Linked DNA regions of Coturnix japonica. The protein of the gene in region 2 purifies or fractionates together with the protein of the main gene of each other region. This does not show direct contact. Links are inferred from orthologs where the notes say so. Each region holds a gene or a part of one and is shown on either strand. Other genes may lie near its edges.

Region 1 (15,678 bases), on a different chromosome or scaffold from region 2:
AGCTGCAGCTCCACACTGCCATCCCAAGGAGATGCTGCTGCCCGGGACAGAAGTTCCCATTGTGGCCTTGGCACAGCAGGGAGCTCTCCTCCTTGGCTTCCCCTTCATCCTTGTGGCTGGAAGTCACTGCTGGCACTCACAGCCTGTCCCAGCCCACCCAGTGCTCCAGGAATAAGCTGCTCAAGAAAAATCCTGATTAAGGATCCCTTTTTATCCAAGGTACAGTTAAATCTTGGTGCTCTCCCTGCCAGCTACAGAGTCCAAGGGCTAAGCAGGCAGACCAGACAGACAACAGTAGTGAGAAGTGACTGGCTAGAACCAGTTGACTAAAACACAACCCAAATCTGTTTTTCACTTGTGCTTGGCTCTCACCCTACAAGCACCATGGGCTGCAGCCAGGCAGGGCAGTGGTCCTGGTCCCATTCCTTGCAGGACCATCTGCTTGCAGTTGGGTTGGGGCTGCTCCTCCCCATGCAGCTGCTCCTGCTGCAGGCTCATGGGGAGGTAAGATAACTTGGCTCCACCTAGCAAAGGATCTTCTCTCATCCAAGAGTGACACATCCTCAATCTCCAAGCACTTCATAACAGTGTGTGATCACCTCTTTTGTAGTATTGGGAAACTGAGGCTCAAGGTGTGACACGACCACACAGAGCAGCTGGGACCCAGGACTCATGCAGAGCTCCTTCAGTCACAGCCCCAAGAGCCCCAGCTTTGCATGTGTCCTACGCTCACATTTTAAATGCTGTGAACATGATGCTGAGACATCCCCAGCCCCTGACCAACTGCTCTGCTGCCTGGCACAGCACACTGTGTCCTGCATGGACAGCATCCATAGGGATCACTGCCCCTGGAGCTGAACTCTTGGGAAAAGCTACAGGCTAAAAAAAAGAAGAAAAACAAACCAAAACCCAACCCAAAGTAACAAACAAAAACCCCCAAACCAAGCCCAGGACTATCTTGAAAACACAGATCTGAATAATGTTTTCCAAACGTTACGAAGCTCCGTCCTGGCTGCCTGTAAATGCCAGATCCCTTAGGAAATGCTAAGCAGAGTTGCTGATGTCCAAGAACAGCAGGAACGAAGCAGGACCGTGCTGCTGCATCGTGCAGATTGAGGAGCTGCCTCCCAGCTGCAGTGCGGCTCCAACAGTTCTAAACTGCCTGCAACAGGGACAACCTGAGGCACCTCTCCAGTAAAATGCACATTCCCCTGCTCCAAAGCCCACTCAGAGGAATGCAAGATCCAATAGATGGTGGATAAATCCAAAGCAAGGAAGGAAGCACGGGTTGGAACACAGGGATTTTCCACTCCTTGTTCACACCCCAAACCCTGCAGCATGGCTGAGCAAACTACCTGTGAGCAGCAGGAGGTAACCTGCCCTGCATCTCGTCTGAATAGAAACCAGGAGAATGCAAGCAATGGAAAAAACATCAAGTGGAATATGTGCCAACGTTCATAACACCAACTGCCACAAAAACAGCCAATCTCAGCCCAAATCCCTGCAACCATCAAATACAGGAGCGATTACAACAGAGCAGATGTCTGCAGAGCAGCCTGCCGATGAACTCTGTCACAAGGCAGTGAAAAAGGCCTTTGCCAGTTGATATCAAAGAACTTAAAAGGAAGTGGAGAAGAGATGGTGTTCTTGATGTTAATACCAGCTTCCCCTCCAGATTTCCAAACCTCGGCTTAGCACCTGGAACTGTCAGATCTGAGCAGAACCACATCCAGAGCATCTCCAGCAGCATCACAGAGCAGCAGGTTGGCAGTGCTCACACGGGACACAGCATCCTGATGTTCCATCCCAGGACTATGTAGGGTCCCACTCGTGGCTGACAACAAAACAGAAGCTACAGCAAGAGGGCAAGCTCCATTCCCTCCTGTGCATGAAGAACTGCTGCAAGCCCTTGTGTGTCCAGCCAGCACAGCCCTGCAAGGACCCAGCCTGTAACCCAGGCTCTCTGTGCATGGAGCACTGTTTATTTTTTGACAGTAAAAAGAAGGGGGGGGAAATCTCCCTTGGAAAAAGGACACTGTGGGAACCCATTATTCACTGAATCACAGGGCTGATAGCAACCAGATGCAAAGTAGGGGAAGGGCCAGCTTTCAGCATTTGCACAACATGGGGATCAACGCAGGCATTGGAGACACAAGGAGAAGAAAAGCCCTAAAGTTCCTGGTTTTGTAACCCAGGCAAGGAAAAACCCAACCAACAGTAGCTGCAGACAGCTGGGAAAAGCAGCCCTCCTCCCCATTATAGAGCCCAGAAAGGCAGCAGCAGTTCTCTGCCAGTTGTTTCTTGCTGCTGCCCCAGCACTGCACCTGAATGAGCGAGGGCCCTGCTGAGCGGCTGCTGCCCATAGGAGGAGGCTGGCACCTCCTGTTGCAGGGCATCGCACAGGGCTCACCCAGTTGTTCCCAGTGCTCAGCAGAAGATCCTTACAGCCATCCTTAAGAACAAAGCCAAGGCTCTGAGAGGACACACGGCACAAGGAAGGATGGCAGAGGGCACATCCTCCACAAATACCACGTAATCTGCCCAGCCCTGGCCCTGCAGCCAGCTCCTGGTGTGGGCAGGGCACTGTGGGCAATCTGGACTTTGTGCCCACAAAGCTCAGCCATGTGCCCTGTGTCTACTTTGCTCCTCCTTCTTCCTCCCTCCATTCACTAACACTGTCTCTGAAGCTATTCACCCACAGCAGGGCTGGCAAAACCACCCACAGGGGTGCTCACTGGTAGGGGGGCCATGGTGTGCTGCTGAAGGCAGGCGTGGGGCTACCCCACAAACTGGGAATGGGATGTGCCAGTGAGAAGTTCCTTATTTCACAGCCCATGTACTCGTGGCAAAAGACAAGTTTCTGTTCCTCTACCACGCCACAGCCAGAACAGGAAGGGTTACACATCCTTCGGAGGATTGGTGCATCACTGGGGAAATACTATTACAAAAGTTGAAGCACGCTAAGCTGCTCCAGGAGCCCTGCTCAGCAGGACATGGAGCACCACCCCACAGAGAACAAGGGACTCAGATCTCTCCTTGCGGGTCCAATTTGGGCAGGCTCTGTTCACCTTGTTCTGCATTAACAAGGTGTTCTCGTTGTTTTCCAGCTGTGAACTGATTCTCAGTGGTCCACTGTAGACTGAAAGGGGAGGGCTGTGCACAAAGCACGCACAAGGCATGGCTCATGAGCTCACAATCCAGCTTTTCTGCATCCCACAGCCTTCTTGCTCAGTGTCTCTAGAGGAAATAGCATTCCTTCATAAGTGCTTCTGAAATTCAGCAACAGCATTTAAAGAACACTGTGATGATGACAACGATTATCTAGTCTGACCTGTAGGACACGAGCCTGGAGAACACAGGTGAGCTACACATCACTCAGACACATCTCAAAGGGCAGTCACAGCATGGGAAGGAGAGGGTGCAGCTCCTCGGGTGCTCCTCAGGTGATCCCTTGGCTCAGGAAAGAAAATCATTTTGTATTAAATGTTCTTCTGTTCTGTAAGATTAATGATTCTTTGGGATAAATAGGCTGTTTGCAATACTTCATGCCAAAACCTAAAGCAATAACTTTCAGATACAGGATCCCCAAGAAGCACTGCTAAGTAAACTTCACTCAACATGGTCATCTATGGAATAAGTAGTGAAATCTCCAAGTGCGCAAATTATACAAACCCTCCTGTGCTGATTACGATTTACAAAGTCAGGAAGCCTATGAATAAAGCAAATTTGGGCCTGTTGTTCCCCCAACCTTCTGTCACAGTGTGCCCAGTGAACCTAGCAGGAGGCTGATGGAACACAGGCAATAGGAAGCATTCCTTCACCCTGCTCACAGGGAACACCAGCGCTTGCTGCTGCTGCACACTGTAGAGAAATGCAGTCATGACAGGTTCAGAAAGGACTGGACTCAGTAATGTGCAACAGGTCTATAAATGGATATGGAAGGATCCATCGAGGACATGCCTCCTCACATTCCTAATCCATCTACTCTGAATGCTCAGAAATCGTGAGGCAAATGGATGGTGGAAAGGGGTCAGTCTCACGTGCTCCCTGCTGACAGCCTTCATTTGCAGAGCAGCTGCACAGAGCTGTAGCTGAGCACGGAGCTGTGGGCACCTCCTGCACCTCTGGGGTGACCTGGACACAGCCAGCCATGTGTGCTGAGATGTGCGTCAGTGCCAGAAGATCAAACGTGAAATGAAGCTCAGTCCTACCAACAGAGCACGGCACTTCCAGCTGGTGGTTCCTTGCTTCTGCAGAACAGAAAGGCTTTTCATCATGCACAAGTTTTTTTTTCCTCTGCTTTTAAAAGCCATACAAAGTTTTCTGAGCTGAAGTGAGACCAGAGCTGTACAGCGCTGTCATCAAGAAAAATAAATGTGATGTTTTTAATTGCTGCTGCTTTTACCGGTGCTTCATTTTAGAGCAGAGCTGAGAGGGCACATCCAGCAGCGTGACAGAAGCGCAGCTGTTTGAATGCTGCCATTCCTTTCTGCAAATACAGCTCAGAAAAGGAAATGCTTCTGTAGGAAATGTCCTTGTCTTCCATAAGGTTAATGAACCCTTGGGGCAGACTGGCTATTTGTGATACCTGACGCTAAAACCTAAAGCAATAACTTTCAAATGTGGCTATAACAGGATCAAAAGCGACTGCTCTGGTGGAACAACGCATCTCATTTTCCCCAAAACACTAAAACTGAGTCAGAGCAGAGGCCAATGTTCAATGCACTTTCTGCATCACAAAAGCTATACTTGAGGCTTTACTTCCATTTTAGGAAGCATCCACCTTCCATACCATTTTCCTTGCACATGAGGCTGAAGATGAAGTTTGATAGTGCCAGGCCCTGGTTGGTGCTGGTTGAGTGGCTGCACATCGCTGCTGGCTTGGCTGGAATGGGCACAAGCAGAGCTCTCACACCTGGCCATTATACAGCACAGTGCTGCACACTTCTGACCTTTGCCTCACTCTCACTTAAAGAACAAGAATCCAATAGACAGAAGAGCTCCATTTCCTTCACAATTCTGGGAGCCATTAGAAATGGCAAAGGGCTCCCACAAGAAATGCACAATAAAACTTGTAAATAGCACTGGTCAGGCTCAGAGCTCTCTACAAACCCAGCACAGCCCAGCAAAGGGAATAAGGAATTGCCCCAACACACACTATTTACATACGAGGAACTCTATGGCATACCAGGTAAGCAGCAAAGGCCATGGAGCACTTCTGTAAACGCCCTGTCCTGGCAGCACAGCACATGAGAAAGGAAAGCCTATGCATGGAAAGCTTCAGTGAGCAACACGGGAGCAGCACAAGGTTGAACAGAAAACCTGCTCCAGCAGCTCCTGACTGCCTCGCTCACCTCTCAGCTCTGCCAGCACCGTGCAGGTGGCTGAGGCCAGGTTAATCTGTTTGTACTTGGGAAAGGCTGCAATGGAGAAAACCAGAAAGTAACCTGGCCAGGTTAAAGTCACAAGAAACCCGAGCCTGTCATCATTACTCAAAGTGCACCAAGTATCACACTTCCTTCCCCTGCTCTCCCCAAACATCTTCCAAAGCTTTAAAACTCCACGACATGCTCCTGTTTGGCTTCTGGGTGCAATCAGAGCACTTTAAAGATCCAAAGTCACAATGCTCTGGGACACAAGGGAAAGGCAGTGAGATGCTGCCTCACCTCACCAGCACCACTTCTTTAAATGACACAGAGGGCTTTTGTACTTCTGAAACCACCGGGAACAACCTCGGAAATCACTCACTGCGTTGCTGCACATATATTATGTGTCCTTGCAAAGGAGGATCACAAATCTAGCTCAACACTGCTCCAACTCACTGCAGGCAACAGGCACCTGCTTCTGAACCCACACAGTTCCTCCACGTTGCTGGCAGCAAGCACCATGCCTGAGCTGTGGGATCCAACCAACTGTGCTGCCCTGCTGCTCCCACAACTGTGCTGTGCCCACACCACCCCGCAGGACTCACCCCTGGCAGCCCCAGCACAGCGGGGCCCAGCGACACACCACCATGATCCAGTTCCTGAGCTGCAGGCAGGCTTCCCTCGGTCAGAATGCCTCTTCCGCTATCTGCGTGGTGTATGTGTGTATTGCTCCCTAGTGATGTAAACAGAAAGGCATGCAGAGCAGTGGGCGACATGTAAATTTGGCTGGAAAATCCCACAGCTCAGCCAATCCTCGTGCTGCCCTGAGCTGCTCACAGACCAGGGAGGTTAAGAGAAAACAACCTGAGCAAGCACTGCTTTATGCCTCCAAGCTGAGAAATCCAACCGCAGAAACAGTATCATCCACCATTCACACTGAAGGGAGTTTGAGCGCCTCACCCTCTTTAGGTAGTTCCCAAACTGTTCATAAAACTGAATATTGAGCAGCTGAACAAAGAGTGACACAGGCTGTGATTGCAGAGATGCTCCAGGGAAAACCAGTTAACTAAGTTAACTCGTTAGCACAGAAAGGAAGAGCATTCTCTTGTTGCCCAGTGGGGCCTTCAGTGAGGAGCAGCACATAGCCCTGAGGATGGGGGTCCACTGTACAACAGCCTCCTCCAGGCAGCTGTTATGTCCCCAGTCAGTCCCAGGGCAGGGGGACATAGCCAGCATGGATTTCACTGCCCATGGTGAAAGAGTGAACAGGAGGGATGACACTAGGCATAAAATGGGGGAAGGAAGAGGTCTGACAGCCTGAGCGTGTCCATATGACTCAAGTATTGGGTTAGTGAAACCAGGACTTGCTCTCAAGCGCCTTCCTCCTACCACAGCTGGACTTGGAAGTGCCATTCGGGGCTACAACATGCTTCAGGATCAGGTGATGCTCAGCCCAAGAGGTCACTGCTGAACACCACCCAACTTCAGCCGCAACTGCTAAACGTATGGAACCGAGAACCAGCCCACCCACAGCTCTCTGTGCTGCCATGGCCAGATTTACCCTGTGTTTTCACAGCTCCATCTGGGACAAAAGCACTTATAGGCACCCCAGGACTCAGGGAGCCTGCAGGGCACTAAGCAGCACCCAGATCCTACAGCTTCCTGCCTGACCCTTGGGAAACCCCCGAACTCTTTGATTTCCTCTCACCAGACATGCAACAAAGATGAGGACGGTACTTTTCTCTTTGAATTCGTGGTCAGTCCACATCAGCACAGCACAGCAGCTTTCGGGGGTGACTCAAGCACCAGTGCTTGCAAGAGCATAAAGCAGCAATTTACAGTAGCAGGATGCACACAGAACAGCCTGCAGGAGAGAATGAGCTGGGAGGTTACGCAGCCAGAGCACTGTAGTGTTTAGGCCTGGGTTAGAGCTGACACCTCTCTGGCTGTAAACCCCATACAGTGCAGATCCCCTGATCTCTTCTCTTCTCCTCTCCTCTTCTCCTCTCCGTTCCTCTCTTCTCTTCTCCTCTCTTCTCTTCTCTTCTCTTCTCACACAGCTCCTGCAGCCACCATATAAGCAGCCAACCCTGCCATTGCCTCCCTGCCATTGCCTCCCTCCCTCTCTCAGGGCTCTCACAGCCATCCCTCATACACCGGGACCAACCGAATCACTGCGGCTGTCAGTGGGGACCAGCGGGAGAAACACTCACAACCAACAAGCACCAGCTGCTCCACAAGAGCTGGCTGTTAGTGCAGGCTGCGATACCTCACCAGGGGGAAACAAACCAGGGGGGAAACAAACCGGGGGGAAACTAATAGACCAAACCTTGTGGTAGGAGCGAAGTATGGCCCCCATTGGCAGCTGTGAGGGCCCAGAGCTGTGAGCACAGCGCCCAGCCCGGCCCTGCTGCCCCCACACCCCGCTCATAACACGGTTCTCCTCGCGTCCCTCGGGCCCAGCACAGCCTGAGTTGTTACATATACAACAATACAGCACGGCCACGTACAGTGTAAGGAACCACTCGGGAGCCCTGACAGAAGCCCACCCCATATATATCCCACACTGAGCAGCCCGCATTACCCGGCCCGGCTCTTCCCATCGCTCCCTCAGCTCCGCCCCGTGCTCCCCCAGCCGGTACCTGGCAGCGGCGGCGGCCGAAGCGCCGGTTCCCGATCCCGGCACATCGCGGCCCCAGGCCTCCCTCACTCCCTCCCTCTAGCTCGTCTCAGCTGCCGCCCGGGCCAGAAGAGCGGCGCGCTGCGCTCCTTGGGATTTGTAGTCCTACCAGTCCGCTCCTCACCGCGATGCTGCTACGCTAGGACTACAATTCCCAGCAGGCCTTTGGGCAGAGCGCTGATTGGCTCTCCTGCAGTCGCTCTGCGCTATAATCACTCTTCCTACTGGCTTCTCTCGTCACCAATCGGGAGACAGCACACCACGCCTCGGGCCACGCTGCGCCGCGCCGCGCCATTGGAGGGAGGAAAAGCGTCGACCAATAAGCGAGGGGAGAGGCGGGACGGTGATCACCTCAGCTGCTTGGGATTGGCTGGATCCACGGGCAGCCTGACCAATAGCGGCGGTGGGGTGTGTATAAATTCCACAGCGAGCGCACGTTTCGCCCTTTCCAGGCGGGAGGTGAGTGGTGTTGGTTCTTCGCTGGGGGTGGGCGCTGTGAGGTGGGACGAGCCGGGGATGATTTTAGCTTTACTTTTCTGACACCTCGTCTGAGTGGCCGCGGCCATTGCTGACACACTACGGCTGAGGCTCGAGGCCCCGCGGTGCTGCTGGGCCGGGCGGTGCGGCCTGATCTCACTGTGAGGCCTTGTTTCCTTAGGGCCCGACGGGAGCCGGATCGCAGCGGCGTGAGGAGCAACGGGAGCCCCATAAGGAGCAGTGGGAGCCCCGTAAGGAGCAGTGGGAGCCCCGTAAGGAGCAGTGGGAGCCCCGTAAGGAGCAGTGGGAGCCCCATAAGGAGCAATGGGAGCCCCATAGGGAACAACGGGACCCCATAGGGAACAACGGGACCCCATAGGGAACAATGGGACCCCATAGGGATCAATGGGAGCCCCATAGGGATCAATGGGAGCCCCATAAGGAGCAGTGGGAGCCCTGTACCGGGCTGACTGTATTGCTTATAGATCGAATAAAGCTTTTATAAGACTTAAACTTCTGTTTTTGTGCATTCTATGCGTCACATGAGAAACCACAGACAGGTTTGGACCTTCGGCTCTGGGTTATGATCGACAATAGCCAACATAGCCAGAGATTAGTACAAAAATTTATTAAATTAAAGCTGTAAACGAAGCAGCACAAATGAGAAGTGCAAATAATGCTGTGTTCTCTGGCCTGTGTGAGCACTGAGCGCTGCTCCATCGCTGGGTGGCAGTCGAGACCCATGTGAGCAATGGCTGGAGCTGAGGGAAGGCTTCAGCAACGTTGTGTGCAGGCAATGGGGACAAGCAGAACATAGATTGTGTGTGATGGGATAGAGCTGGGCCTCAGTGCAGTGTGGGTGTGTTAGGAGAGGCCACAAATGCAGTTGTGATGCTTGTGCTGCATTGCTTAGGTTCCCCATAGGTATATTCAGAGAGTAGCATTTGCATCTTCTCTATTTATATTACTTAGTTTGCTTTTGGTCACCCACTAAAGAACCAGAGCCAGTAACTGGCAGCTTTTTCATCAAGATACAAGGCATTCCTGCCCAAAGAGGGGAGTGTCTGCAGGGGATTAGCAGCATGGGGACAGGGGGTGCTGTTACACTATGGTTATTGTGAGACAATCCAATACCAAAGGCAGGCTTGGGAACAGAGCTGGGTGTGGGAGCTGCCTGTCTCCTGTGCCTCCATGGCAAGGCTGGGGGCTGTAATTAGTCCCACTCTTTAACCTTAGCTAGCAAGCATGTGCTACAGCCCGGAGTGAGAACGGAGGTAGCTGTTAAGCAGCATCATGTGAAAGGTACTGATTGGGAAGCAGCATAGGAGCACACCAGAGCAGCACAAAACAGTTCAGTAGGTTTCCACTGACTTTGTAGTGCCTGATCATCGTGCAGGGCAGCTACAGTGACGCTTGGAGGCTGGAGAGGGTGATTGTTAAGGAGTGAGTGGCAGGGCTGATGAGAAACAGGTCCTGCCTACTGGCTGCCAGCAGGGAGCAGGAGCTGCCCAGGGATGCGCAATGGCAGCAGGCTGAGTGCTGCAAACATCCCCCAGGAATGGGTTTTTTAAACAAAAATAAGACAACTTAAAGACATTTCTCCCTAAAAAGCTATTTATGAAAAGGTTTATTTTAGGCTCTGTGTTATTACTGTGCTGGACCCGTTTTTTCAGCAGTTGTTCTGCACGTTGCTTATTTTACTGCAGCTCCGAGGGGTCTCCTCTGTCACTGCCTGCCTGGCTCCTGTGCTGAGGGTCTTTGTGCCCTTTGGGAATGCTGCTGCAGCTCAAGCTGGAACAACGAGGGGCAGCTGCACCCCAACTCACTGCTGAGAAAGCTGGTGTTTGGGGAGTGAACTTCAGTGGTCCATTTAGAGCAGTGCAGGGATGTTGAATGCAGTGGGCACCTGGTGTCAGTGCGTGTGGAATTGCTGAATAAGAAAACTGCCAAAGGCCAAACACAGCATCCAGATTTGTACTTTGAAGTGCAACTTGGAAAAAAAAGCATAAGCCAAATGCTTGGCACCAGACAAAAGGGGCGAGGAGTCCATTGAAGAGAGCTGGCAGGAGAGTCTTAGACCTGTACAATCAATGCCTACAGCGCTCTCCTCGTCTTTCTTCTGTTAGAAGAAAGAGCTGTCCCAAGAGAACTTCAGAGATAGCAAAGCATTGCTGTGGTCTAGAAATGTTATCACACTTACATAAAGGTATTTAGAATAAGCTGCAGAACATTAGCTTTCTTCCCATTAAAGTACTAGAAGTGGCTGTAGTAAGAGAACCAAAGCCTTTACCAAATAGATAAACAGTCGGGAGATCTCTGTACAACAGATGTGTTTGCAGGAGCTCACTCAAACAAACAGACATCTAAGCTCTTGTCTTCTGCAGGGAGGAGAAGTCTTCATCGAGGAGGTATATTACAACACGGGGAGGACTGACAGACAGAAGTAAGCAGCTACAAAAACGGTTGCCTTGAAAACAAAGCCTTCCTGCGTGCCCCAGGATCTGAACAGCTGAATTCCAAGGGTGTGGGAGAAGGGAACTCAGGCTTTCTCCTGCCCAGATGTTTGGTGGGGAGCAGGCACTCCCCCACATCATCACTCTTAACACTAACACACCCAAAGATGCTCTGGGCTAAGCACTGTCACTGCTGAACCAGTGCAGGAACCCATCGCTCCGGAAGGAGCCGCAGCTGCACCGGGAAGTGGCTGTGAGCAAGGCAGGAGTGGAGCAGCTGGGAGAGGTGCTGCTTCTCTGTGGGGAATGGGGCACTGTGGGGCTGTGGGTGCTGCAGGGCTCGGGGAGCAGCTGTGGTGCAGCACGGCCAGCCTGTCTGCCAGCCTGAGGAGCTTCTGCTGCTTTCACCCCCCACATCTCAGCTCACCTTTTACGCAGATACAGACACAAGACAGACATGCACACACTGTCCAAGAGGAGAGAGCGTGGCGCACAAACACGTGGCATGAGTCTCTGTACAAATGCACCGAGCACATCAGAACCTGCAGCAGCCCGAGCCTCTCACTTCCTTCTTCACATAATCATGGAGCTTGAATTTGGGTTCGTTGGGCAGCTTCATGGACCTGTGTTTCAGTTCTCTGCAGGAAGGGGAAAGCACATTACTTCTCTGCCAACGCAGCCTGCTACCAGCTGAGTGACATCAGCCCCTTCACAGTGACCACCCTCCCCACAGCCGGGACCCCCTTATCCCCCTTACTTTGCAATAGCTGTGAATGCTAACTCCACATTGAGGCCGCTTTTGGCGCTGGTCTCCATGAAGGGCACCCCGTACTCCTGCAGGACAAGACAGCATTTGTACAGAGCTTCAGAAGAAATGTGAAGGCATAGAACCAAGGAGGGCAGCGGAGGGTTAAAGGATGAGCAGATGGTGGAGAAGAGAGTGGTATAAAGGATAAATCCCGCTCTGCAGTTGTCCCTGTGGCTGCTGTGCTGTCTGTCCAGTCTAAGCATAAGAAATACCCCCACGTAGCAAAAAGAACCTCCCATACCTTAGCCAATTTTTCTCCATCTTCCCTTTTCACCACTCTGTCCTGGGCTGAATCCACCTGCCAATAGCAAAAGAACAAAGGGAGGATCAGCATTAGATAAGCTCCATGCCCCAGGAAAGGTCTCATTCTGTCCCATCCCATCAACATAGGCAGTAAAGGGGATCTGGGGCTCAGATCCGCGGGGTGAGCACAGGACACTGCTTCCATCTCCAGCACCTCAATTCAATGAAGCATTCCTGGGAGACTCTGCAGCCCAGCAGCACACAGAGCAGGAGCCAGATCCTGTGCACCAGGAGGGAGATGGGCAGGAGCACAGCTTTGGTGATGAGAGCATCCCTCCCTGGGACAGGTGGCCACTTTCTGTGCCTCTGCTGGCCCAAAACCTGCAGCTACATGGCTGCACTGCACCCACCCCTGCCCACATCCATAGCATCCTGACAGGACCAGCTCTGTGGGACCAACTCACCTTGTTTCCCAGTAACATAAGGACCACGTCCTGCTGTGCGTATTCATGAATCTCTGTCAGCCATGCCTGGAGGGAGACAACCACAGATGGGCTGCAGTGAGGTGGGCTCCAGGAATAGGAGGAGTCAGCTGGGGCTGCCCAGCCCTGGGCATTGGGTGCCATGTGTGGGGAACCTGTGGGGCTGCAGGGAATGAAGGACAGTGGGATGTGGTCCTCTCCTCTGCCCAGGTTTGCTGCCAAGGCAATGGGGCAACATGGGGATATATTGCAGCAGAGTGGGGACAAGGGAGCACCTCACTGCTGGCATCCGGCTGCCCCTGTTCACCAGGAGCAAGCTCTCCAGCTGGTGCTATAATTACATATGGCATAAATCTGCCACTGAACTGAATCCATTGGCCCTTCTTGTTGCCAGGAAAGGGAAAATGTTCTCTGTGTGTCCTCCACATCAGCAGCCTCTCAGCAGCTGCCAGCCGGGCACGTGGCACCAACTGCAGCCTTTTGGGAATGACCATAGCTTGCACTGCTGGCACACACCACCCACAGTGCCACCTCTGCTCCAGGGCAGCACCAGCCACAGCTCCTTTCAGCTTTCTTTTTCCCCAGGCTCCCCATTCATCTCTAGCACAGAGCATCATGAAGGCTGCCAAATCTCCATGCTACCTGCATTCAGTGACCCATGGGTTTGCTCTGAGCACCAGCTGTGGGTTCAGGGCTTAGGGAGCAACAACAGCAACCCAGAAACCCACAGAGCTGCCTGAAGCCATCAGGAGCAGTCCGGGAGGTGCCGCACATACCTGGATGTTGTCAAAGGATGCCTTGTTGGTGACATCATACAGCAGGAGCAGGGCTGTGGAGAGAGTGGTGGGTGTTAGTGCTGGCACCACATTGTGCTCCCCGAGCCCCCCAGCCCTGCTGGGGTTGTGCTCACCGTGGGCATCACGATAATATGCGTGTGTGACACTGCGGAAGCGCTCCTGGCCGGCTGTGTCCCAGATCTACAAGGCAGAGGAGAGGGGTGAGAGCATCACGCTACCACTCACAGGATGGAAACAGCACACGACCATCGCACCCTGCAACCCCACAAAGTTTTTTCAGCATTTTGCTTCTAACAACAACCCAGGGGCTGATCTGTTTGCACACGAGCAGTTTGCAGCTGCAGAGGAGCTTTCTGAGGATGGTAAGAGGTGATAAGTGCAATAAATATGCAATCAGCACCTCCCTGTTCATCAGCACATCTGGCTGCAAGGATGTGATGTGTGACAAAGAGCTCCATTGAAAATCTACCAGTGGAAGGATGCGCAAGGACCACGTATTGAATTGATCCAGTTTTAGCACAGTAAGTAGTGTTTCCAGAGCACTGAGCTGCTATCAGGGCAAGATGGGCACTACTGGCACAGCTGGGCTGCACATGTGTACATGTGCACATCTGCATGCCAACACAGCTGGAAAAGTGGGGACACGCACAATGGCAGCTTCCAAACATGAGAGGAGATTGGACTCTTGGGGCTGTGCCCAGCCCTGTGGCTCCAAGGGGTTATACAACACCCTGAACACTGTAAGCACAGCTCCAGGGACTCACCTGCAGCTTCACCTTCACTCCATCCACCGTCAGCACCTTGTTCTGCAAGACAAGAGCAAAAAGAAGCAGTGCTGAGGCTGGGAGCTGTTGCCTTATACCAACTCTGTCAATGTGTTGCTGATTTTCTCTCCCCATCTTTTAAACTTGCACAAAGCAGCCACGGTGCCTGTTGGAGCAATTTGCAATTTGCACAGCAAGAAGATCATTTCCTGTGTCTGCTACAAGTTACATCTATTTGGATACTTAAATCTTTGTGTCTACAATGCTGATTTAATATGGTGTGCAGCTCGGGTTGGACCACCTCTGGCAATAAATTAATAAGTGTCAGCATCCCATCTTAGCAGCCTCCAAAAGGCACAGCTAACAACTCCATATTCAGTTAGCAACTTAGACAGATCTCCTTTTCCTGCTGTTTTTATTTGTTGCTCTCCCAGCAAGCACTGGGCTGGGTCCCCACATCTGTCTGTGTTGAGGTGATGCCCACTGTGCCACAGCCAGAGCCAGGCAGTGTTGCTGGGTGCCCTCTTCCTGCATAAACAACTGCAAATAACGATCCAGCAGCTCCCACAACACCACCACAATGCTCAGCAAATTAATTGGCCCTCACAGCAATTGCGTTGTGGACCGACTCCAAGGTGAGCCATGAGTTGTCATCATGTGATGTGTTGCAGCAGCAGCGCCTGACCAGGCAGGCACAGGGCACACAGATATCCCTGGCATCACCAACCACAGTTTTCCTATTTGATGCCAATGCACTTCCAGACAGCTCCAGTTCTGCAGCAGCAGAGCACTGCCAGCTGATTTTCAGAGCCCCACTGAAGCCAGCAGAGCTGTAGGATGGGCACAGTGAGGCACTCAGCATCCCCAGTGCGTTAACCAAACCCAATCCTAAACATAAAGAAGTCTCAGAGCAAAGAGCAGAGATCCACAGAAATCAGCACAGTGATCACTGGGGTATGCTTAAAAAAAAAACACCCAAGAAATGGTGCATGAAGGGGCCAGGTGGGATGGGGTAGTGGCACCTGCTGTGATGCCAATCCCATTGCTTTCCATTAGAGCATGGCCACAAGGATGAGGAGGATGGTGTGGAGCGAAAAAGCATGCTAAATTTACACTGTCTGCTGAAGCGGGTGCAGGGAGATGAACATGGTTTATAAATACCTTCAAAGGCAGTGATGGAGACGAGGGAGAGGAGTGACTCACAGCCTAGGAGGGGAAGGAGTGGGCAGCTTGGCTGCAGCCACACAGGGGAAAGGGAAAGGTGCAGGTGCACAACTGGAGCTGCTGATGGGTCTGGTCTGCTGCATCACAGCTTCAAGCAGCACTGCTGAGAACACCCAGCCCAGCCTGGAGCCGCTGCCTTCCTAACAAAGCAACAGCACATTTGCAGTTTGCCTTGGTAGGTTGTAAAATACTTTGCAATAATTACACGTTATTTTTCCAGGATGTCTGTTCGTTTCTTTGTTGTAACCAGCCAGCTCTCACTAAATATTTCATAGCACAAACCTCATTGCTCGACGAAAGGAAAACATTTGCCAGCAGCCACAGGTGATTTCCTGCAGGCGACAGCTTGTAGCTGCCTACAGCAGGACTGCTTGGGGACCTGTG
Region 2 (15,507 bases):
TGACAGCACTCAAGGTCACTGGTTAAGCCAAAGTTCACAGTGATGCCATGCACTGTGTAAGTCTGCTTACTGTCTGTGTTCACCTGTTGCACTGTTTGTAACCTGGATGCCCCACATGAGCCAATACGTTAAAATACTACTGAGCTATCGAGTGCAGAAGTCTTTCCTCACTTAGTGCCTTGGTAACAGCACTTCCCATGAACCAGAAAAGAACTTAATTCATTGCAGTTTTTCACAACATTTGAAGCCAAATGAAACAAACAAAAAAACCTTGCTTTGCACATCCAAGAATCCAAAGCAAAGACATGAAGACGATGCAGCTACATGACATTTCCTGCCTATTTCTTCCACAGCACACAGCTCAGCAATAGAAACCCGACCTTTAAAGTAACATCTCAGATCCTACGTGTTTATATCCTTTCCACGACAGAGAAAATGAAAAAATCCTCATAAGGACAGTCAGTGGGGTAACTTACAGACTCTAAAGTCAGGAGATGATATCAGGGTTCACTGTGCAAAAGCACATATCACTATTTATGGCTACAGTTCCACTAAGTTTGCAGTTAAGTTGCAAAGGAGCAGCCTGCTGCCCTCTGTAACTGCTGCTTTCCAGCCGAGCCCCGGTTCCAAGCAGCAGATCCAGGGCAAAGAAGTGATCCAGGTGATTTCATTAACATGCCGTAATTGCCAAACCTCACATAGCCACCACTGTATCACCAACACAAAGGCAGGAGCAGGGACTCCCGCTGAAGCTGCCCAACGAGCAGCCCTGGGTTTTAAAAGATCTTTTGAAAGACGGCACGTGTGATACAGAGATCCTGGGCTGTTATGAATACTTTAGTCTGACCTGTACCAAATGGACTAAAACAAATAGACATATGTATAATTTTAGTAGGGTAGACTAAAGTCTACCTGAACTCAGAAAGAAAATTTAATATTAGGAATTACTATGAATGAAATAAGTACAAAACAGAACACTGCCTATCTTGACTACAACTATCAGCTCTGGGGACCTCAGCTCCAGAAAAGGATGTATTGAAATAGAGCAGCTTCAGATAAGATTAGAAAGTATGATCAAAGACATAAGAATGGGTTCTTCAGTAGGGTACAAATAGGTAAGTTAAGACTCTTCGATTTCCAGGAGAAGGAAGAAATTATTGAGGTCTACAAAATCATGGCAGGACCAGAGATGGATCGTCATATTAGAGATGGATTGTCATATTAGAGATGGATTGTCATACTAGAGATGGATTGCTCACTCCCCTCCACAACGAATGTGGTAGCAAAGGAAAACAGCACAAGCCAAATTCTGAAGAAAGAGAAGGTAAATTTGAACATAAGTAGTAGCGCACCCATAGAACTTCTTACAAAGAACAGCTGGTTGCCTGCATACAAAAAAGGGGTTGGTTGCATGAAACCAACAACGAACTACCCAAATCTAGGACAGCTCTTCAATGAAAACAGCTAGAGATGAAGGAATACTCAAGTTATCTCTTATACATAAGCTTTCCTTGTTCTTACCCTTCGCTAAGCATCCGCTCATGCTCCTTATTGGAGGAAGAATGCTGGAGTGTTTTTTCTGACTTCATTATGGATTAAGGCTTTCCCTAAAAGCTGTCAGTCAAAGCACCAGTAATGTGTAAATTCTCCTTTGAAAGTCTCACTTGGTATTCATGATGGTGCTAATCCCACAGGCACTGAGACTTAACAAATATTCTCTAAAGAGAATGTTTTATCATTGGGCTGTGATAGTGCATGACAAAGAGGCAGAAGGCCAGTTCAGGTACGGTAACACTGACATAAACTACCTTACCACCACAACTTACTTGTAAGAAGTACGATGTATCAAATTGTTATATGCTATGATATATTTTTGCCAACAGAAGCCACATGGAACCCCAGAACTTGTTTTCAGTCAGGTTCCCCATCACACAGCAGACCTGCACTCCAAACAAGAGACTGTAAGTGCTGGGAAGTAGATGTGGAAGAACAGGAAAGGCCCATTCTCCTTAATAACACAGAGAGCCCTGGTGCTGTACAACCTAGAAATGCTTTGTATAAGAAAACTAACCTGAAGATGAAATTCACAGCAGTATAAAGTGTTACCCTTCCGGAAGGTAACTCAAATACCCATTTATGAAGGAAGAGAGACCTAATTTTACAGACACTAATACAAGCTCCCACTGTAACAAATGGAGGAGCCAACATCCTGACATTATTGAAAACCAAACCAGCAAAAAACTAAATCAAAAAACCCATCAAAAACCACATAAAACCCAAATTAGAGCAACAAAACCAAAATGTGTGCACACCCTGAAATGACATTTTAATTGGGGCTGCCACGTTACTTCTGATGTAACTTTTAGAGTAAGTTATTTATTCTGCTGCAGTAAGTCTTGGACTGGGGAACTCTGCAGAAAGATGCAGACAAATCAGAGTCCAATGGGAGCTGCCGACAATGTGAGCAAATAGGGTCTGTGAAGAAAAGGCCTATTGGTGGAGTTTAGGGAAGTCTGAAATAAGAGACAGAGGAACAGTCCTCATATCAACAAATGGCACAAAGAGTATAGAAATCATTATCCTGTGTGAGTAATTGAGGGAGGACTGGAACTAACTGGCTTAACTAGAACCAAGGCAAAAGTTAAATATTAAGAAAAGCCTCCTAACTGTACCAGCAGCTACGTAGCACCTATAACTAGAGCAGTAAAGAGGTGTGGTATTCCCCTCTTTGGAGGTTTTTGAGACCAGATCAGACTAATGTTTGTTAGGTATAATTTCAGTATATTTATTTCTGCTTCAGAGCAGGGAGTGACCTCACCAAATCCGTTCTTACACATCTGCCATTCCTTCTTTTATCACAATGAAATCTGTTTATGTCTGTTATCATTCCTGAGCTTCAGAATTACAGCCTTTGTAACTTCAACTGCTGAAACATTTGAATTCTATTACTGAAAGCACCACTGCTGTCAAACTGTTACTGTACTTAGCAGAAAATACTTCAGGAACATGTAAGCAGCCTATTTTACTACTGCAAATAATGCACCGAAGCGGACACATACGTGACTGAATGGGCAAAAAGCGAGTGAGGAAAGACCAGGAAGTGAGGAAAATGAGGAAACAGAGGCTGAAAACAAAGCAACAGCAAAGGAAAAACATCAGTCTGAAGAAAATGGTTTTGCTCATGTATGAAAAACAAGGTGACATCTACCAGCGCTGTTTTAAAGCATGCTGCAGGCACCACTGCTTCAGCCTGGCTTAAGCAAGGCCAACTTCAAGCAACCTCACAAAGCTGGGCTCCAAGCTGGGCTGTATGTGCATCTGTGGGGAAAGTGCCTCCAGAGCAGAGAGAAGTGCAACATCCCAACAGGATCCTCCATTCATTGGTACCAAAACTTCAGCAGCTCCTCAGAAAATACAGTTAAAGTGAATGCATTTAAAACAACTCAGGAAAAAAACCAATGCAAAAGTGTTCTAAGGCTTACGAGCACCCACAAGCTGCTTGTGTCTGCATTAATACAGTACAAAAATCAAGATCTCACGCTGACATGCATTGGTGAGAAGCACAACCTGCACACTGTATTCAGACTGCTGCTCTCAGCTGTATCTTGTAAAATAGCACTGGGAACGTAAGTGCAATGAGTGCGTGTGACCTATTTCTTAACACTACCAAATATTAGAATGCTACAACAGCAAAGCAGGATTTATGGCTTTGAAAAATAAAATTACCTTCACTCCTACAGAGAAACTGGCGTGGTTAATAAAACGTCACTGAGATATTTAGATGTGATATTATGTCAGCTATATGGCTGAATTCCCAAAGCTTAAACTGAATTCCTAAACACTGGGGACAGCAAATGTAACGTTTGGTAATGAAGGTAACTAACGTAAATAAGCACCATAACTTTTAACCTTTACGTTGTGTTAAATGAAACTCCACTCATCCCAGGCACCTGCCTATTTACACGTGTAGGAGAGCTCCCGTGGTTCCCGAATACCACAGCTCTCTTAGAGAAAGTTTCCTCTGACAGTTTACAAGCCTCAGCGTGCCAAGGCAAGCAATTTGGGAACATCTGTTTTCTTCCCCATAGTCTTCCATTAGCAGCAGGTAAACCACTGACAGCTCATGGAGACGGACGGCTCATGGACCGGCTGCTCAACAAGACAGATTTTGCACGCATTCCTCTCCAGAAATGAGTCAATTTGACCGATATTACTTTGCTATTCTCCTTTATCAAAATGCAATGAAACCCTGAAGAAAACCCAAACCCAAATCAATGACAAACGGCCTCATTATCTGAATCGATAACCACATTCAATACGTTTTGGTGGCAATCGTGACAGAACAAAATGTGCACAGAAAAAACAGAAATATAGTTAAGCTCTCATCTTTGAATAGAATGGGAGGATAGTGGGCATCAAATAAACACCGTAAGCATGCAAAAATCTTTCATATAGTATTTCTGTTATTTCCAAATGACAATAAAATGTAAGGACTAAAAACACAAGAAAATCGCTCCGAGGTGTTGCAGTGTCACATAAACCCCAACTCATCAGCGCCCATCCCCATCAAACGATCCCTGGAGGAATTCCATAGGACAGAACACTTGCTCTGGTTTTCTGCTAATAAGCACCACGCAATGGAGGAGGCAGAGACATTGTGTGAGCTCGGCGTGCAGACGTTCATTCTGCACACGCAGGCTGTGCCGTAGGCACACAACACGTTTCTCAAGGCCTCCTGCACCCCGCAACGTGCTGCATTGTTCAAGGGAGAAAAATATCTGAGAACTGAGAAGCGCTTCCCGAATGGTCCGAAGGCCGCTTCTCTCAGGGCAGCCTCTGTCGCCTTCCACCATCCTCACAGAGAGGACACAATGCAGCTCAGCAGCACCCTGCTTGTTTAACGCTTCCATCTTCAATAATTCCACAACCGTGAACTAAAACCGTATTTACGAACCGAGGAAACCAGAGAGAAAAAACCCTCGTGGGTGCCACAGTACACCGCAAAGGCAAGATGGGGGAAAAAAATAATTACCGTGCATTCACTTTTTTTTTTCCACCGTACTCGACGTTAATACCGTGCGGATTCTGACCCACATCTCCAGCTCTGCTACGGCAGCCCCGCACCTCAGACCCCCCCAGGACCCCGCCGTTCCCCACCGCCCCCTCCCGCCTCCCCGCAGCCCCCCGCCCGCGGGTCCGACCTGTGTGACGGCGATGGCCGGGAAGCAGCGAGGATCCCCCCGCGCTGCCCCACGGCGGCGGGCGCAGGCCCGGCCGAGCAGGCGGAGCGGAGGGAGCGGCCAGGTTTCCGGAGAGGAGCCCACCCCCCCCCGGGAGGCGGGGGGGAAGGGGCCCCGGGCCCGCACGGTGGGGAAGGGGAAGCAAGGAGCGGAGCGGCGGGACAGCGAGGGGGAACGGGGCCCGAGGGCGCCGACGGGGCCGCGGTCGGGCTGAGTCCGGGGGTCCCGTCAAACGTGAGGCGCCGCCGACCGCAGCCGCTGCCAAGCGAGAGCTCCGCCTCACGTTCCGCCGAAACTCGTGACGTCGCCGCCGGGAGGAGGAGGAGGAGGACGGGACCAACGTGAGGCGGCACCGCGTCACGGCACGAGGGCGGCCGCATCATTCTGCGCTTGCGTATGGGGCGGAGGGGCAAAGGCGGAAGGGTCTGCCCTCACCGGAGGATAAAAATAAATGGCAGAAGTTGCAATAAAGCATATTAGTTATTGATGCATGCAGTGCAAGCACTACGCAAGCAATGGATGTTGGGAGGAGGAAATGACAGAATCACAGAATGACCCGGGTCGGAAGGGACCTCAAGGATCATGTAGTTCCAACCCCCTGCCTGGCAGGGCCACCAAACATACGCCTTTACTAGATCAGGTTGCCCAGGGCCCCGTCCAACCTGGTCTTGAACACCTCCAAGGACGGGGCATCCACAACCTCCCTGGGCAGCCTGTTCCAGGGCCTCACCACTCTCCTAGTGAAGAACTTCCCCCTAACATCCAACCTAAATCTTCCCTCTTTTAACTTAAAACCATTTCCCCGTGTCCTGCTATTGTCAGCCCTTTCGAAGAGTGACAGGGTAAGCACATCTCAGGATAGCCCGCTCAAGTGATTGACTGCAATCTGGCAGCACGGCTCTATCTTGATTCCAGGATCAATACCTCATTGCACTAAGAGGTTCTCACCTTCTAGACATGCTGCTTCAGACAAGTGCCTGTATTAGTTAACGCTAAAGCCATCGCTTTCAAACACTTTAAATAGGCATAAACCAGCTCCTTCTAGTGGCTGCACTGTCGTCCTTCACTCCCCCTCCTTCCAGGTCAGTCTCCCTGCCATTCCTTCCTATAGCTGGCACTACATTACCACGTTGATACCATCTTTTGTACTACAACCAGAAAATAATACAGTTACAGACCTATGAAATCGCTTATTTAATCAGAAGGTGTAAGAACTGGCAAAGGAACATGCATAGACATAAGGCTTATGAAAATTCCCCTTTGAGGAGCTGTTTTCATAAGTGTCAAGATCTACGATGCATATTCAGATAAAACACCAGCCCATGCAGCAAGGTAGCAGTTGATAAGCATCCATTTATCAGTCAAATGATTATATGATAGCGGGTAGGCAGAGTAGGAGAAGGTTTAGCCAGAGGTAAATGTTAAAGCAACTTAGGAGATTGTTACTGGGCTGTAACATTCTACTCTCTGCTCATCTGCACTGGGCAGTAAATGTTCAGATTTAAGTGTTTGATCCATCAGTCTCCTCGATTCCTCCTGAGGTTCCTCAGCCATTTTCCCACATTCCCCTCCGTTGTGAAATGAATAAAAACAGAACAATCTCTGAACTTCTGTCTGAGACACCCAAATCTTGTCCAGGTCAGCAATGTTTTTGTTATCACACCTTTTTTTCCTCTAAAGAAAACAAAGTAAAAAGAAAAAGCCACACAACTCTGTATGCCCTTTGATCAAGAGCTGTTGTCACAGAAGCATAGGAAGAGCTCTGCTTCAGCTGATATTATCTGCACTATGCAGAAATCTGAAACATTTGTGCTGCCAGCTGAAAAAACAGCAGGTTTCTACAAAGTGCTGCGAAACTTAAAAAAATAATTTGAAAATAGTTTTAATCTGCATACAAAGTCACCAAAGAGCCAAGGACCAATACAATTCTCCATTCGGAGAACTAATTATTTCATCTTCTTACTGATGCAAGAAGTGGTGAGCTGGGGGTGAGCACTGCAAAACCATTACAGCAAGGCAGCCACTTCTGTAATATCTAATATAATGGAATGTTTTGATATTGTTCACAGCGAACCTCAACACATAGAGAGCTTTAAAAAATAGTAAAACGTATTGCAGAAAGCACTCGAGCACTCTGATGTTTTCCCTTCACCTTTCAAGGGTGTATGTTCTGTATTCATATGCTGTACTCACCCCGAGTGTTCTGAGTACGTCTCCTATTGCAGCCAGCTGCAGTGCATTATGGCTCCACACACACCGGCTGTTTCAGCTTCTTGTCAGGAAAGAAAAGCACACGCAGGAATAAGCGTCTTCTAAAGAACTGGCTTAGATCTGAAGACATCTATTGCTTTGCCTGAAGGTTAAAGAAGATGAGGTCAAATAAAAGCTCGTTTTACTCAGCATGGCCCAAAATGTTTGTTACAGTTCTTACCTGTGAAGGAGTTCACTCCCAGCAAGCTGAACATGTCTCCCACACCAGAGAATGCTGCCCTTCCTAAGGTTCCATTTCACAGATGAAAATGATGCATTTCATCATCAATATTTATAAGCTTCCCCTCTTCGTGAATATTCACGTTCCAAAGTTAAAGAAGAGATTTGCAAGCTAAAAATACTTGATTTCTACCTTTATACTCAAATCCTGTAGAGAACATTTATTAGATGTAATAGAAGTAATTGTTTTATCAAATCACTTCCATTTCATGTTACACCTACATTTCATGTGTCATAGAAACTCATAGTCAAATGTGAAATTCAGCTTCTCTAATATCTTAAATGTGGTTAAACAGGGTTAAGACTTAAGAACACAGAAAAACATCTCAACAAACTCATTTGACTTAAATTCAAAGGGCTACCATGGTTGCTATCCAAAGGTACATTTCTTCCAGAAATTCTGTGCGCCCTGAATTAACATTTACAATCACCAGAATAAAAAATAAATCACTCACAAGGTTTGAAAAAAGCTTATTTCATTATTTCATTCTGGTTTTGAGCTCCAGCCCCATCTCAACAACCCCCTCTTCCCCATCTCAACTTTCCCTTCCCCCTCCTCCCCCAAAATCAGTCCTGAAGTCTTCATAAACAAACCTGTTTTTTTCATGTATTTTCCAGCACTTTAATTAAAGGCAGAAAGTCGAGCACCTTTGGAGGGATCACACAGCTGGTGGACACTCCCATATTCAATCCAAAATTCAGTACTGACGAGGTAACTTCTGTAGCAGCAACTCGATTCCACAAATTTCAGTTGTTACAACAGTCATTTATTTTAATACTTTGATCAAAGTTATCAGACATGAGAACATTTGTCTTAAAGTAATTACAACAACCAGCCTCTTCAAGTAATATATTCTAAGACTTATTTGCTTGTGATTTGTTGGCTTTTTTTTTTAATGGAAACTCTCCATTGAGAACAAGCATCACCCCTGTTTCAGGAATGCTGATGAAAAAAGCTGGTATCTCAACAGCACATCAGTAGAGAAGACAGTGTGGATAGAAAGCATTTACACTGATAAACGTAAGATTCATAAGTTTTTCCTTTCACCAGTATAGCAAATTGCACAAAGCACTGCAATATACACTGCACCTATGCTTCCAGGTTTTGCTGTGAGATGATCAAATCCATACAGTTTTCCAAGAGTGTATTGTACAGCTTATTATTTGATTATTCTATCAACGAATTTAAGTGGCAGCTGCTCATCTCCTGAAGTCATTTTATCGGCAAACAACTGGAAACATCTGATACGCTTCATTAGTTTGAAGCTGTAAAAACAGTATTCCGCTATTTAACCGGCCTCTGCTTTATTTTATTTCCTCCCATCTCAGATAAGCACTTTAATCAATCCTTAAAATCATTGTGAGCATTCAGATTGTGGCTGAACTGAAACTATATACTTCTAACAGCCACTGCAAGGGTTACTGATGCAGGTACCAATAACAAAGACTTAAACTTCCTCCCCCAAATCACTCTGTGTAAAATGATTCTATAAAATTCTCTTCCTGTCCCTTCAGTTCAAAGTAGGTGTCTTTTAACCATTCCTGACTGAGATCCTTCCTTACTTAGTAGTGTCAATGAAGAATCGATTTTACACCTTCCAAGGGCCAGCAAGTGTTTGTTAGTGAAGATGTTCTATGGACCTACTCAAGTTTTAAACAGGAGAATGTGAGACAATGAAAACCTATGTAGTTATGTGAGGGGGAAAAAGAAATCATGTTACTGGTAATTGTAATACCAAGTTACAAAGTGAGATTATCAGCAACTGTGAAACCAGGAATAAAATGACATTTCGTTCTACTACAGCTTTGGCTTGAATTCACCAGAAATAAGCTTTTTAAGCATTTCAGAATTTCTTCCTTCTGGTGGTGAGGGCCATCTGTTGTGATCTGAGGAAACAAAACAGTGGGTTTAGCTGATAAAGAAAGTGGGCGTTTTGGTTTTGCATGCTCCCATTGCCCAACTTCAATCACGGTAGGGGCATTATTTTTAGCCCATTTCTTACCTGGTATTTCTAAGCTACTGCCATATAAACTTTGGCCACCATCTATAACCATGGTTATCCCAGTTATGTAAGAAGCAGCTGGAGATAGCAGGAAACACACTGCAGGAGAAATCTAACAAAAATGACAATTTCAGTCCTTCTTAAACCTCTGGCCATCAGTTATGTCCAAGATGTTCCTAAAAATGGACACAGGCAAGGCACAGCTCTGATTTTTACTCAACTATCAAAGTCCCAACAATCTTAAAACCACACTTCCAGCTACCAACACCAACAAGGTAAAAGCTGAGCAACGGTGAGCTTTCAAGTACTTTTAAGATACACCTTTTCACATTAATCCTCCCCGATTAAAAAAACCAAGTCAACTTTCCCAGAAACACAGGCCAACCACGAGACATTTTAGCTACAACAGCTAAATAAAAGTCCCCCAGTTGACACTACTGCACATTTCTACAAGCTTTTTCTTTTCTTTATACTACACCAGTTGAAAATCAGGTCCTTAATAGTCTCCAAATAATGAAGCGGTTTTAAAACAGAGACACAGAAGTAGGAACATCACAAATGTTCAGAAATACGTTACCTCCTCAGGAACTGCTGATCTCTTAGCAGGAACCTTCGGTATGCTCTTCAACCACATAATTACACCCTGTTCTCCATAGTTGGCAACAGCAGTTTCTGAAAATACTATTCCCTACATTAAAACAACAACAACAACAAAAAAAGTTCGCTTTCATATGTTAAGTTGTGATTAAATTTTAAGCTTACTGGGATTTTCTATGGCACTAACAATCCCAACACGACTTGAATGCAAGTATTTAACTTGGATGAAATAGTATAATTTACAAAAGAAGGCAACTGAACAGATAGTTACATCCCTGTTCAAACACACTAATTCACATTGTTCTAATCCTTCACCGCCACACCAACAACTCTTAAGAAACTCAACAACTGCTTTGAAATAACCAACATTTCAAATTAAATTGCAACAGAAAGCTACAGGAACCCCAAGAACAAGTTCTTATTGTTTTTGTATATAGTCTGCAATAATACTAGATTGACTTCATTGTGAATTACACAGGCGTTTTGCAATCAGATTTCAAACTCTTCCTACTGAGCTGTTATAGAAATCCTTGTTCTGATGATTTTAAAATCCAGCTTAAACTCCATAGAGAGGATGAATGCAATAGTAAGAGAAAAAGGGTTCTACAGATGAATTCTGATACAAAATTTCGGACTCAAGTTTCAATAAGACAAAAGCATTTGAATTTGTTCATTAAGAACCTTTCAGTATTTCTCTAAGATGTGAACAACTGTGTTTCGGGAGCTAAGGAAGAAGCTCGCTTGTAAAACTATTTTATTTCCTTCTCTACGCACACTTGCCCTGCATGTTACTATGCCCATGTGAGACAGCAAGTTCTGCATGGTTAATACAAAGTATGTTCACAAAGGTGTCAAGTATCACCCTAACTAGAAAATAGATTTTTGTCACTTGCATAATTAAAATAGCAAAAAAGCCAAACCACTTAAGTGTCTGCCTGCCAAAAATCTCATCTGACAGATGCTATAAAGTATAATGAGTATGAATCATTAGATAATTAGCATGCATTAAAAATATGCACACATACTAATGCTGTCCTCATTACTTATTTCCCTAAGTCTTGATAAATCAGAAAGCAAACAGGAAAAACAAGATAGTAGACCTTAATATTTAAGAAGTCACCAGAGTAGCCTCACAGAGGCTATTAAAAAGAGCCACTTCCTGGGTCTCCCATCAAGCATTTTGTGTTATGCCAGGAGAAAGCTAATGAGGTATTTTAGTGCAGGACATCTGTATACCCTGCTTCACCTCCTACACTGACAGGAAAGGGATCTTCCTTAAAAGATACTAATAAATCTGAGATTTACTAAACTGCAAGATGAGAAATTCCAAATGTGGCAGTAGCTAGTTAAATGTTTTCCCTTTAGTTTTCAAGACAGCAAATGTGAAAAAGAAACAGTCATTAGGAGTGAAGATAACTTTAATCACATTAGACATCATCTCAGACTTCAAAGCTAGGGCCTGTTTATAGCCCTGTAACTGCTGCATCACATGCAACAAAAATACAACTGGTGTTTTCACAAAGTTACTTATAACTGCAACATCTCAACTACTTCCTCAAAAACATGGCAGGCGTATTTTGCTGACCCATGTAGTGGCATCCTATCTGTGCATACTTCATAAGAAAAAAAAAATGAATTCCAGATGTAAAAATGTGTTTTCTAATTTCTTTAAGTGAAGATACATCTCCAACACTGTCTTTTCACAACTAAAACTAACCTAACTTGACAAGGAGAAGATAGAAACATGAAAGAACACATTCAGAGATTCTCAACATAACTGCGAATGCAGGCAGAAGCCACAAGCACAGATGAACCATATACAAAAAAAATTTGTAAACCATTTTCCCCACGTTTATCTCATTATCTAAACAACACAAAACACACAAAGCCCCTTGGAAAAAAGGGCATGTATGGAAAGGAAAGTGTGTGGGTGAAATGTATGAGGAAACTAAAAATTCATAAATAAAAATCCATAAACAGTTGGAAGCTCTACGTTTTGAAATCCCTTTCAGTTATGGAGCATCAACCATAAACACATATGATAGCAAGTTGAATCACATCACTTGCCGCTACTTACAGGAGCAACGCTGTTGATTCGCACCCCGCTGTGGGCCCATTCTAAAGCTAAAGTCTTGGTCAGGTTATCCACTGCTGCTCTTGCAGCTCCTGAGTGCCTATTAAGAAAAGAAAGCAAAAGAAGCACCTTTTCCCTCAGCTAAATGCTCAGTATTAATATCCCTGCAGCCTTACTAGGAAGTCAGAGTAGTGTTCCATGGCTGGACCAACCACTCAAGAGGCACAGCAATTTTCTAGTTCTTAAACAGTGAAGTTGGGGTCAAATTTAACAGACCTATGCTACAATTTCCTTAAACGAGTGTCAATTATGTAAGAATTTAGTTTGAAAGTAGTCTTACCTATCCATCCATACCTATATACAAGTTACCTGGTGAACTTTTCTCCAAGTTATTTAGAATTAATTTTTTACTCTTATATTCTTTGTTCAACTCTCCCATATTCTATTCATAGTGACAATTCAAACAGATATATCCAGAGCAAAGAAACTCAAATGACTGTAGCTTCAGCACCACCATGTGGATCTTCACATTTTGTACTGCTAAGAATAAGCCAGTAAGAAACTGAGATTTGGAAAGATTTAATCCTGAATGAGGCATAGGGAAGTTAATATAACACTTGTTCAAATTCTATTCAAGAAAATACAAGTGAATACACACAGAGTCAAATTAGAAAAAGTAGTTTCAAATAAGAAACTCAAACCTCAGAATTCTTCCCCTCTGGAAAATGCCAATGCATAGCATTCTCACTACATCAAATTTTCATTTAAACCAGTGTTTTCTGAAGAATATTTCTCTCACACAAGTTAAAGCTCTTGTTGGAAAAGCTTCAACCAGAAGGCTTACATCCATTTTGAAGGTAAAAAACAACGTGAACAAATACAATCAACATCTGCCTATGAAGACCCTCTATTTTCATGCAGACAGCTGTGATCATTTTTTGTCAGTATAGATGAACTACAAACATGACATTTTCTGTACCATTCCTCCACTCAATCATTATTATTGTTATATTATTATTATTATATATATTATTATATATATTATTTTTATATTATTATTATTATAGCAGAGGAAAAAAAAACAATTTCCTGCATTGGAGACCTTTCCATGCAAACATAGTAAAATGCTATGTATGTTCCTACTACAACACCTATCCCGCACCCATTTACTGTAATTATGTCATCAAGATCTATGCACTGACAGCAGAAGTAAAAAACCACCAGATGCCAAGCTCTTGCAAAGCCATCAAAACAAGTAAAGGTTCCATGTCAAGGCAACCAGTTCCACTAGCACCTTGTTCCCAATGAAAGCTTTGCTAACAAGTTCTGCTTCAGTTTCTTACAAAGTAGCAGAAAGGATCAGAGATATCCTTCACTCTTGCAGGCTCCATTGAATTAATAATGACTCCCACTCATTCAGACAAGTATTGCTTTCTTGACATTAACTACTGTATTTCTATTACTCAGCTGCTGCACATTATACACCTCTCCTAATCACAGTATTTAGGAGTAATGAATAGTTCTATGGGGAAAATACAGGAAAATGTAAAAAAAATTATATGTATATTACGACATTCCAGGAAACCCATTTCTCACGGCAGCAGTAATGTTGACAATGGCTCCTCCATGTTCCTGCATCCAGGCATTGTACACTGTGTGAAGGAGGAAGATAACCTATAAATACCTGAAGAAGTGCACACAAACAAACCTGCTAACTGGACACTAAATCTGGAGTCCAACTATAATTACGCTACAGACTTCCTGTGCACATTTAGATACACAATCTGCTCTTTGTACCACAGCCTCATCACCGGATCAGTCAGATAGCAGGTACAGTCTAGATAAGGCTCGGTGTTTGCCAAGAACGCTTCTTGTGGAAATCAAGACCTTGTACCTTCCATGCAAATTACTCACATTTCCACTTTCCTAATAGTCTCTGAGAATCACACACTTCATATTCATGATGAGAGCAAAGACTTCTGTTTTACTCAGAAAATATTGGCCACCAAAGTTAAGTGTTCTTCCCACAGACCTGTGAGTATCCAAACCAACTGATGCCTCCAAACCTCGCCTTTAAACTAGAGATTATTCCTCCCCTAAGCACGTACATGTCTAACCATACATTTGTTTATATGAATGATGTACAGCTTAATGTAAAGATCGATATGACATTTATGAAAACAAATATCCACTGTCAGATAAGTACGTGAAAAAAAGAAAACAGAGAAACTACATTTTCTTGCCTTCAGACATTGCTGTAAAAAAAGAAAAATAAGAAAACAACAAAAATCACATTATGCATAATGTTCAGTCCTCACCTGCTTTGCAGCAATAGAAAGTCCCTGTCAGATTTGTGTCTATCACAGCATTCCAGCCTTTTGCACGGATGGCTTCAGAAGGACTTGCGAACTGGCCCCCTCCGTTATTCACCAGGAAGTCAATCTTCCCATGTAGATTCAGTGTAGTCTTCACCAAAGCTTCTACCTAAAAGAAAATATATTTTTTAAGTGTGGCAAGGTGCTGATTAAGCTACATATCCAATCTCATTCTCAGACATTTTCTCTCATATCTGTTTCTACACGTAGGGAGGCAGTAGTAGCCTTCAGAGAGGGCAGAAGCTTGGTATGACAGGTTTAATCAGCCAAGAAGGATTGGGTTATGCCTACATTTGCTTAGGAAAACTTCCGGGAATAATGCAGGTGCTACATAAAATATCAGCACTAAAAGAAGAGGCTTTTCACTGCTGAGGACTTGCAAAAGCAAATAAAAAACTCTGCTGTTTAAGATCTACTGATGTACTCGACAAGTAAAGGATTATTTACACGAGATGCTGGAAGGCACCTATGGATTTTCTTTCATCTGACCCATATGCCTATGTTCCTAATGGTGACTGCAATGTCTTCTTTTAAGAGATTTATGCAAGTTTCAACAAAATCCCAAAGAAAAGGATAAATTAACTAAATGATGTTGCTAGTCAGGAACTTCCCTGGGTTTTGCAACTTGTGATAGAACAGTTCTGATAACTAAGCAAGCTTGAACTCTTTTACTTATGTTGAGACATGTATAAGGTCCTTTTCCCTCAATCATTCCTTAGTATCTGGTG

The links.
Region 1: the proteins of MAP3K2 (region 2) and TRAF7 purify together in Homo sapiens (affinity purification with mass spectrometry; 3 studies listed by BioGRID and IntAct, with this or other methods). This does not show direct contact. The link is inferred for Coturnix japonica from reciprocal best matches to the Homo sapiens genes MAP3K2 and TRAF7.

Annotation. Positions count from the first base shown.
Region 1 is NC_029529.1:6,357,754-6,373,431, reverse strand, and holds the start of TRAF7 (E3 ubiquitin-protein ligase TRAF7), read right to left. Parts: upstream 8,136-15,678; 5' UTR 8,009-8,135; intron 6,100-8,008; exon of another isoform or gene 5,972-6,099; intron 1-5,971. Other genes in the region: RAB26 (ras-related protein Rab-26), read right to left, coding at 11,512-11,614, 11,734-11,810, 12,026-12,082, 12,492-12,557, 13,286-13,338, 13,420-13,486, 14,071-14,112. UniProt on the Homo sapiens protein: E3 ubiquitin and SUMO-protein ligase that plays a role in different biological processes such as innate immunity, inflammation or apoptosis. Potentiates MAP3K3-mediated activation of JUN/AP1 and DDIT3 transcriptional regulators.
Region 2 is NC_029522.1:23,205,227-23,220,733, forward strand, and holds the start of MAP3K2 (mitogen-activated protein kinase kinase kinase 2), read right to left. Parts: upstream 8,241-15,507; 5' UTR 7,672-8,240; exon of another isoform or gene 7,594-7,671; 5' UTR 7,434-7,593; intron 5,554-7,433; exon of another isoform or gene 5,202-5,553; intron 1-5,201. Other genes in the region: PECR (peroxisomal trans-2-enoyl-CoA reductase), read right to left, coding at 9,529-9,617, 9,734-9,845, 10,311-10,421, 12,408-12,504, 13,975-14,056, 14,723-14,888. UniProt on the Homo sapiens protein: Component of a protein kinase signal transduction cascade. Regulates the JNK and ERK5 pathways by phosphorylating and activating MAP2K5 and MAP2K7. Plays a role in caveolae kiss-and-run dynamics.